Coturnix japonica: one gene and its partner. The protein of the gene in region 1 interacts with the protein of each later gene in a pairwise test. Links are inferred from orthologs where the notes say so. Each region holds a gene or a part of one and is shown on either strand. Other genes may lie near its edges.

Evidence for each region.
Region 2: the proteins of FAM13C (region 1) and CCDC172 interact in binary tests that used the Homo sapiens proteins (3 or more experiments, as listed by UniProt). The two-hybrid records come from large-scale screens. The link is inferred for Coturnix japonica from reciprocal best matches to the Homo sapiens genes FAM13C and CCDC172.

What each region holds. Positions count from the first base shown.
Region 1 is NC_029521.1:71,000-74,822, forward strand, and holds part of FAM13C (protein FAM13C), read left to right. Parts: intron 1-1,534; coding exon 1,535-1,685; intron 1,686-3,823.
Region 2 is NC_029521.1:25,610,329-25,614,899, reverse strand, and holds the start of CCDC172 (coiled-coil domain-containing protein 172), read right to left. Parts: upstream 2,990-4,571; 5' UTR 1,925-2,989; coding exon 1,846-1,924; intron 1,605-1,845; coding exon 1,519-1,604; intron 1-1,518.

The DNA of each region.
Region 1 (3,823 bases):
CCTGGCCTGTAAATCAAATAGTAACTGTAAAACATTGTCCACGTGTTGTGGTGATTACACAACTGCAGTATTTAGCTGAGGTGAGAGGTGGTAGAAAATGAGGCCTGATACGTCATGAAGACTCTTCACAAACCAGTGCCATGAGTATCCCTTCAAGACAGCATCCTTAATTTCATGGGGAAAATTCACTTCTTGCTTTTTCCAAACTTCACTGTTTTGAAGTATCTCCTTGAAATAGCTCCTTTCTATTCCCTTTTCACTGCCTGAGTTCTATGTAAGGAACAAAAAGGTCAAGGCTGAAAGTCTTCCCTGCTGTTCTCTGTAAAATTCACTTGCCTTTATTTTTCCTAGCCAAAAATACTGCCACCCTCAGACTTATAAAAGTGCTCTGTTAAAATTAAATAATAATGAGCAGATCTATTAAGCTACACTAATAAATAATTTCACTATTTCATTAAATGAACCAATACATTAGTTTCTGATCTTTGATGCAGAAGGAAAAGTACCTTTTTAGGGTATAAACTCAAGGGATTTCTTTGTATTGTATCTCAGATTTCTTTCAGAAAACGCTCTCTGTAAATATGTTCTATGTGAGCAATTTAACATTTTATGTATATTCTGAATGTATCAGCTGCCTGATTATTAAAACAGCTGTATGTGTTTTTGTTTTATGCTGCAAGTTCTATTTCCCTTGAGGAAGGGAAGCTGAATACACTGGATGTCAATAGTGACTCACTTCACCCAGCTGAATGGTGATTAGGGCTTTTACAGCATTTGAATCATAGCAAGATACTTGTGTCAGATTGTACAGCTGAGTATTGCGCACAGCACCGAAGATTAAAATGAGAAATGGACCAAACATGACACTGTAGCTGGGAGTGATGATATAGATAACTAGCCTTGTCCCCATTGATTTGTCTGCAGTAAGTGACAATGATCTGTTAATTTTGCCTTTGCAGCAGATAGGAAATGATCTGGTTGCCTTGCAGAAGCAGCAGCCACCTACATAAAAGCAGTGTCTACATGAGGAAGCATCTCTAAAAAAGCCAATTAAGTAATATCTCTTCCAAGAATCCCATGAGGCAGCGTGTTCTCAGTAACTCTTTGTTCACTGCTATGTACTGCACAATAGGCTGAAGAGGGAGAGTGTGTTTTTTTTAATGAATGGTAAATGGGGAGGGACATAATGTCATCAGATCGTGATGTCAGCCCAATGAATGAAATACTTACCCAGTGTATTGCTTCAGGACCAAGAAAAAAGGGACACCATCTCAGTTTGGCTTCCTAGAATAAATTGTCTTTTGCTGACGATGTCATCTTTCCCACGTGTCATGAATAATCCATTTAAATTGGGACTTAAATAACCAGAAGTGAAGAAACTCGTGGAATAGTGCTTGTTTGTTCTTTTGTACATCCTCAGAGCTGCTAGTGGAACACCCCTTTGCAGGCGCTCCTAATGGGCTCAGTGAGTTGAAGAGCTATCGCTGTATTTTGTTGCTCTCTATCTAGCCCAATGTTCTGCTTTTGTCTGCAGAATTCTTTGTTGAAGCTACAAGCGCTCGAAACCGATCTGTGCTCTGCGTTTCTGCCAACCCAGGAGGAAACTCCCCAGCTGCCGGCACCCAAGGATCCAGCCCCTTCTTCAGTCCAAACCAGTGTGCAAGCTGATGGGGCCAGTAGCGGAGGTAAGGGATCGTGTCATGATGTGCTCTCATTTGCAATTATAAAACAGCCTTGTGACTCGCAGTCTAATCTCAGATTTGCAGTCCTCTGGGAAATAGTGCCGAGCTGATGCAAAGCACCGTTTCCTGATAGAAACGCTAATGTAAAAAGGGGTGATACTTGTTAAAAGATCAGATAAAAAGAGCTATAGCCTTCTGTCTTTCTGCAAGGGAAATCTGATCTTTCAAATAGATTTTAAGAATCCTGATTCTATTCAGTTTGTCTGTTATTTATTCAAATGAATTTATGCTTTTTGTCTCCTGTGCCTGTATTGTGTGAGATCCTCTGCCGTATCATGTAATTCTATTTCTGTCGTTCTTTTTGTCAGACCAATATCACTTCATTTCTCCTATTATTGATTTTAGTTTAATGTATCAGCGGAGAGATAGTGAAGGTGATTCTTAACAGCATGTGCATTTTAATCATTCATGATTCTCTATTATTACTCATCTGGGCAAATTGTGTTGTGTTACCTCTCTCTTTCCTCAGTATGGAAACCAGTCCTTGCAATAAATAGCCCAGAGGCTCTGCACTATTTTTGTCAATTCATAGCTTCTAGTCACTGGGTTGATAGTCGTGATGCTTGGGAGAGGAATCACGGTTCGTGAAAAATAGGCCAAAGGCAATATGACTAATAAATCTCACAGACAAGTGACATGAATACACAAACACTTAAACTGTTGACCATATATGGTCCAAATTAAAGCAGATAGGTAATTAATCACTGTACAATTGACATTTTATGTCTGAATAAATGCTGGGTTCAAAAGAACTTATTTCTAAAGCTGTTTGCTTAGAATTTTCAGCAAGAAATAACAGCAAGTTATATACCTAAAAAGATGACAAATTATAGCTTTTATATGTACTTAAGTTTGATGTTTGTATTGGAAAATTAAGGGAAATGATAAGTAGAATCCAAATTATGATCAAGTAGAAGGAATGTAAAGAACACTGCATTTCCTGTTGCTTTGAGTATGGAGTTTTTAGCTTTAAAAAGGGTACTTTTGCCCAGCTATGCAAACGTCTTAATGGCTGTGGGTACAGGTATTGAAATTTCAATAGTGTTATTGCTGTGGATCTAAGGCAGACAAAGATTTATTAACTGTGCTGCACAAGAAGAGACATTTTGCAGCCCATCCAAAACCATCCTTCTGCACTGACTCTTCCTTTATGTCAAGGATGAGTTTTCCTCCTCTTCATGTAGTTTACCAAATTACTTTGTTGTGGTAGTTTGCAATTTATTGTTAGGATGGTTCATAATAGGCTTCCTTTAATTTTAATTTTAATTTTAATTTATATTTTCTCATTATTTGCTTTTGCTTTAGATTGGTAGAGAACACCAACTTCAGGTGTTCTCTCTAGCTCCTATTTGCCCATCTCCATCTACACACAGAAATGTTGGATGATATGGCATTCCTGCCATGAAGTTCAGAGCATGCTCTGTCCCTCTGGCAGTTCAAACTTGTGCTTCAGTTGAAGTTTACTTATTAAAACGGATTTTAATAGAATCTCAGTTCTAACACCTGTGCTGTGATTGGTTGAATTTTCCTTATTGAGTTCCTTTTTTTTATAGATGGTGCTTGTCTTAATTCTGTCTCTCAGATTATTAACGGAATCTGATTCATTGAGTTTAGGTACAGTTGTCACATGAGACTATTGGCTTTTTCAGGTTGAACTTGGATGGACATCCAAAGACTTGCACCAGTCTAGAAACAGACTATATAGGGGATGCACAGTATTCACCATGTGTCTAGTTATTCGCTTCTGCTTAATCAATCAGGCAATAGAAAAAAAATGTACAATATTTTTAATATATCTTTGTGTAATGTATTTCATAAAATATATACATGTACACTTACATATGTGGTTAAAAGAAAGCCCAGCAGTTTGTTAAAATGACAGGCTACTTTCAGTACAAATTTTAAGGGATCAGTGGTAAATCTTGCTGAAACGAGTCATCAGTTTCCTTTTGGATATGGAAAAAATTGAACTAGAGCTGGCAAAATAAGTCCATGAAGAACTGAAAAGGGGTAATAAGCAAGATTTCTTAACTAGAAAAAGAGAAAAGCAGAATATAAGTTATATTCTTTGGATGTGAGTA
Region 2 (4,571 bases), about 26 Mb from region 1:
AAAACAAGTTTGAACTCAGGCTCATCTGCTTGCTCAGGCATAGGCCCCTGTGCATGTACACACTTGGATATCTGTGCTTCTAAAGTGCAGTTATTTGGTGTGGGATAAATTAAACAGCATTACTGAACATTATTTAATGCTATCTGAATTATATTAAATATTGTAGACACACATAAACTTAATTCCTGTACTGAAAAATAAATGACTTTTAATAATTTCAATATTTATGTAACCTTTAAACCTAAGTACAGTCTGATTGAAATGCATTTTTCCATTCCACTTATTTTCTGTATCGTGTCCTATTTATAAATGAATCAATGTCAGAATAAACAGGCAAATAAAACATATTTTTGTGGATACCAGATAGAATACTAGGTGGCTAAGGCACTCAAGATTTAATTAGGAACAGTTCTTCAGCTCTTCCCATTAGTCATTTACAATAATAGCTCTACTCCTGGGATGCTCTATACCTTCCACATAAATGTTGATTGTAAATCACGCTGCATCAATAACAAATTAGCAGTATAAACATGAAATAGTGTTCATAAATAAATGTAGGAGTGATACTACAAAGGGCTTTACCTAACAAACATCACTCAGATATAATGTGTTGGCTAAATAAGTTACTGTGTTAAAGGTCTTCTGTGGCATGCATACATGACCAACTGCTTGCAAGATAATAGTCTCATTTTACAATCAGTGAACATTTGTTTATGAATTTCTTTATCTGATCATCTCATAGCAATGTCAACATGTGTGTATGTGCTTATATGTATAAAATGCATAACCCTTAAAAATGACAGAAGAATCTGGTTTTGGAAGGATGATGATCATCCTCAAATCATCTATGTGAGATAATCCCCCAAAAGTTTCTTGAAGGTGTTTATTTAAATGCACAATAGTTCTAACTTCAAAGGAGACTCCATAAGCTTTCCTGTTGTGCACACACATTCCATCAGCACAGATACTTAAGTACATGGGGATGATAAGTAGACTTTATTTTTCAGGCACAAGCAAATGGATTTTTAAATCATTTGTCCTTATAGGTATGAATGGTGAAAGGGCTCTGCAAAACTGAATGGTTAATCGAAAACTATGTCTGCAGTTTGGTTAAACAGAGAGCATAGTAAAATGTTAAAAGTGTTGAATAGGTTTGGAAACTTCCTCCTGTCTAGACTGTCCCTAACAAAACTCTAAGGCCTGGCACAGTGCTGAGCCCAGGCTCACGGGAAGATCTTTAGTATATGTCTCAAGGTCTTGTGAAGTAAATACAGTGAATGTTTCCACATATTGTCTGTGAAACAAATAAGGCCTTTAAGGAATGGCAGTGGGAAACACGGGAATGATTTCCAAACCTCTAATAAATTCATCTTTTAAATGAAAAAGTGCTATAACAAGTTCCAAGACTGCTCAGACTGAGCTGCTCAAACTGTCCACAAATAGATTCCCCAAAAGAATAATTCATGTGCTTATAAATGCAATGTATTCCTTATCTGTACTATAAACGTTCCTACTTACCTCAGTTTCTAATTTTAGCGTTGCAGTGTTCAGCTCTTCTTTTAGCTGGTTATTTTTTTCATGATATTTGTTTATTTCAAATTTAACTGCAAAACAAGGAAAACCTGTAAGCAGGTGTGGTCAGTTTGTAAACCTTCTGTTCTTGCAAAGCAGCAGCGCTGGCAAGAAGTCCCAGAACATCTGCCTGAAAATCTTTTCCAACAAAACTCCCCTCATGATTTCACAGTGGTGCCACTCCACATTTGTTGGGATGATCCCGGAATATGGAGAGGCCTTTCACAGTGACTGACACTGTGGGACATGCAAGATGGCGGGCATGGGGCTAACCTTGTTGGATGAGGCGCCTCTTCTCACCCGCCTGCTTTTCTGTGAGCTGAATTTGTTGGAATAATGTATCCAAGTTCATTTCTGACTTGTGGGCAAGTGCAGGTATGTGAGGGCTCACTGCAATGTGCAGGGCTGGCTGCTTGAAGCCAGGGAATGCACTGAGGGGAGGGCAGAGCAGGTTGGGCCCACCTACAGTCCTTCCCTCAGGGCTCTGCCCCAGACCCTGGTTCTGCTCTCCAGTCTCAGCTTCCCCACAGGTGGCTGCTCCAAGGCTCTGGGGAGAAACTACACCGTGCAGGGATGCCACCTGGAAAGATGACCACAGACTGTGAGAAGTGAAGGCTCAGGGTGAAACTTCAGGAAAGGGAAGAGTGAAAAACTGGGTCAGGAAGAGAGCAATGGCACAGCCCTGCTGAGGGAGCCCACCCAGGAAACACACGAATGGAAATGAGCTGTCAGAGGAGCAGGAGAATAGATTCAAGAGAAGGATGTTTGGGGAGTCAAAAGGCCTCTGACCGTCTGAATCTTGTCAAACTTGTGTGCATTTCTGAACCCTTGATTCTCACTCAGGATTCAGGGATTTTTGATCAAACAGCTCTGACTTTATTTCTCTAGGGCCAAATACTTTATACTGTTCTTGTGGTGTTCAAAAGCATTTCTTTTTTTTTCCTTCCATCTTCCTTTTCTGTGGAGTGTTCACCATCCATTTTTAATAACATAGCTGTTCAGATTTATTTGTCTTTTGAAGATTGATGCCTAACCTTAGCGGTTATGGAAGTAGGCTAAAATCTGCAATTGTCATACAATTCCCAAGAAAATGGGAAAACTGACTACATAAAAACAAAGTTAAAGTGATTAGGCTCAACTCAGCTGCATCACTGTTAATGGGAAATGACAGCACTTCTTTCCCAGTCGGGCTCTGTACACAAGGATCTGAACCCAGCCCGTTGTATGCTATTCTGGGGCAGCCTTGCAGATGAGATTACTATGCTCTGAGCTTCTGCAGCTTTTTGATTTGTACATCACTGGATCGAATACCTGGAAATGTAAATAGCTGGTTGAAAATATAATTCATATTACAGGATTTGTTCTTACACCTTGAAAAAGACTAACTACATTCCCTGCAGGACATACCTAAGCGAAGTTGGCCTATTTGCTCTGAGGCAGAAAAAGCCTAGAGGAAAGGAACTTGATATCCTTCCAGCATTTTCCACGTTGTGAAAGATTAGAATTATTGACACTCTGTCTTGTTAGAGTTTTCCTCAAAGGAGATACTGTCTTTAGAGTAGACTGCAGCAGAAAAAAGAACAGAAATTAGGAGCTCTTTGACTACAAGAAGCAAAGCAATATATGTGAAAGTATAAATGCCTTAATGCTGTTCTAAGTTAGTAGAATGAAACAGAGAATTTTGTATAAATGTTATGTTGTGGCATTTACTACTTAAAAAGCACCACATTATGATGGTAACATGCTATGAGACTGTGCTTTTAAAAAGAAGATGTTGCTCTATGTAAGACAGAAAATGAGGGTTCTGGTGAAATGTAAAAACCTGAGACTAAGACATTATGTTGCAGGAAATGCAATTATTTCTTAAAATGGAGCAAAGTGCAACTGAAGGAGAAGAGTTCACAAAAGCGAATTTAGAAAATGTTACAGAAATGAGGCTTGCTACCCAAAGGCCAAAGCAAAAGCAGATGAGTCAAATGGGAGCATTTGATGATTGAGGCAGCGATTTGTTACACAGGTCTGATGACTGAAAAAGTCATTTCACAGAATTCAAGAAAATGAACTGCTCTATCAGTGGATCAAGGAGAAAAGAAAATGAAAAGCATTCTTTGAAGTTTTTGAGACTTGACTGCTTTTGTATTTCAAACTGAAAAAGCTGCTCTAGGCTGGGATAGTGTTCAGTGTCCCTTGTTAAAGAAACGACTGTTTTTTTGTGAAGGGTTCTTCAGTGTCTAATTGTGGCAAAGGAACTGCTCATCCTAGAAAGAAGAGTCTGGCTCCAACTATACTTCTCACTGTCTGAGAATGACCATTCAGCACCATTCACAGTTCTGTAAAAGATTCCTTCAGATACTGGGGGAAAAAAAAAAATCAAAGTGGGACCGGTCATTGAAAAAAGACTTGATGATTTTTGACTCCTGCAGATATGTGCTTGATTTAATGCTGTAAATAACTCATCAGTTCAGAGTCATATTAAGTGAACCATGCATGTACAAATGCTTCAGATTCAGGATAAGAGCCACTATTTCAAAGGTGTGTAATTTCCTAGCTTTCACAGGAATGGATGCGATGGTATGAACCTAAATGCTTCAGAACAGAAGTAAAATATGAAATACCTTTGCTTGACATCCACTTCTGTCTGGTATAAATCTTTTGTAAATCACTTGCTGTTAGGAAGGTGACTTTAATTTTGCTCTTCCGGTCATATCAGTACATCCTAATCTTAATCTATATCTGTATCTTAATCACTGTGCTGCAATCAGGTCATGCCTTTCTTGTGTACTTCAAAATTAGTAATTGCCCTTTGTAATCAGGCTTCTGTGTTAATCATAAAGTTTCTTCTATGAGTTTTTTCTCTTGTTTGTGTCAGAAGAAGGAAAGAAAGAGTTTGTGTGTAATCTCAAGTCAGTATAAAAATTTTATCAGTGTGATTTATTTCTAAATTTTATATGCTCAGATTATTTTAAAAATTGATTTTCTGAGAGTTGAAGATGGAAGAG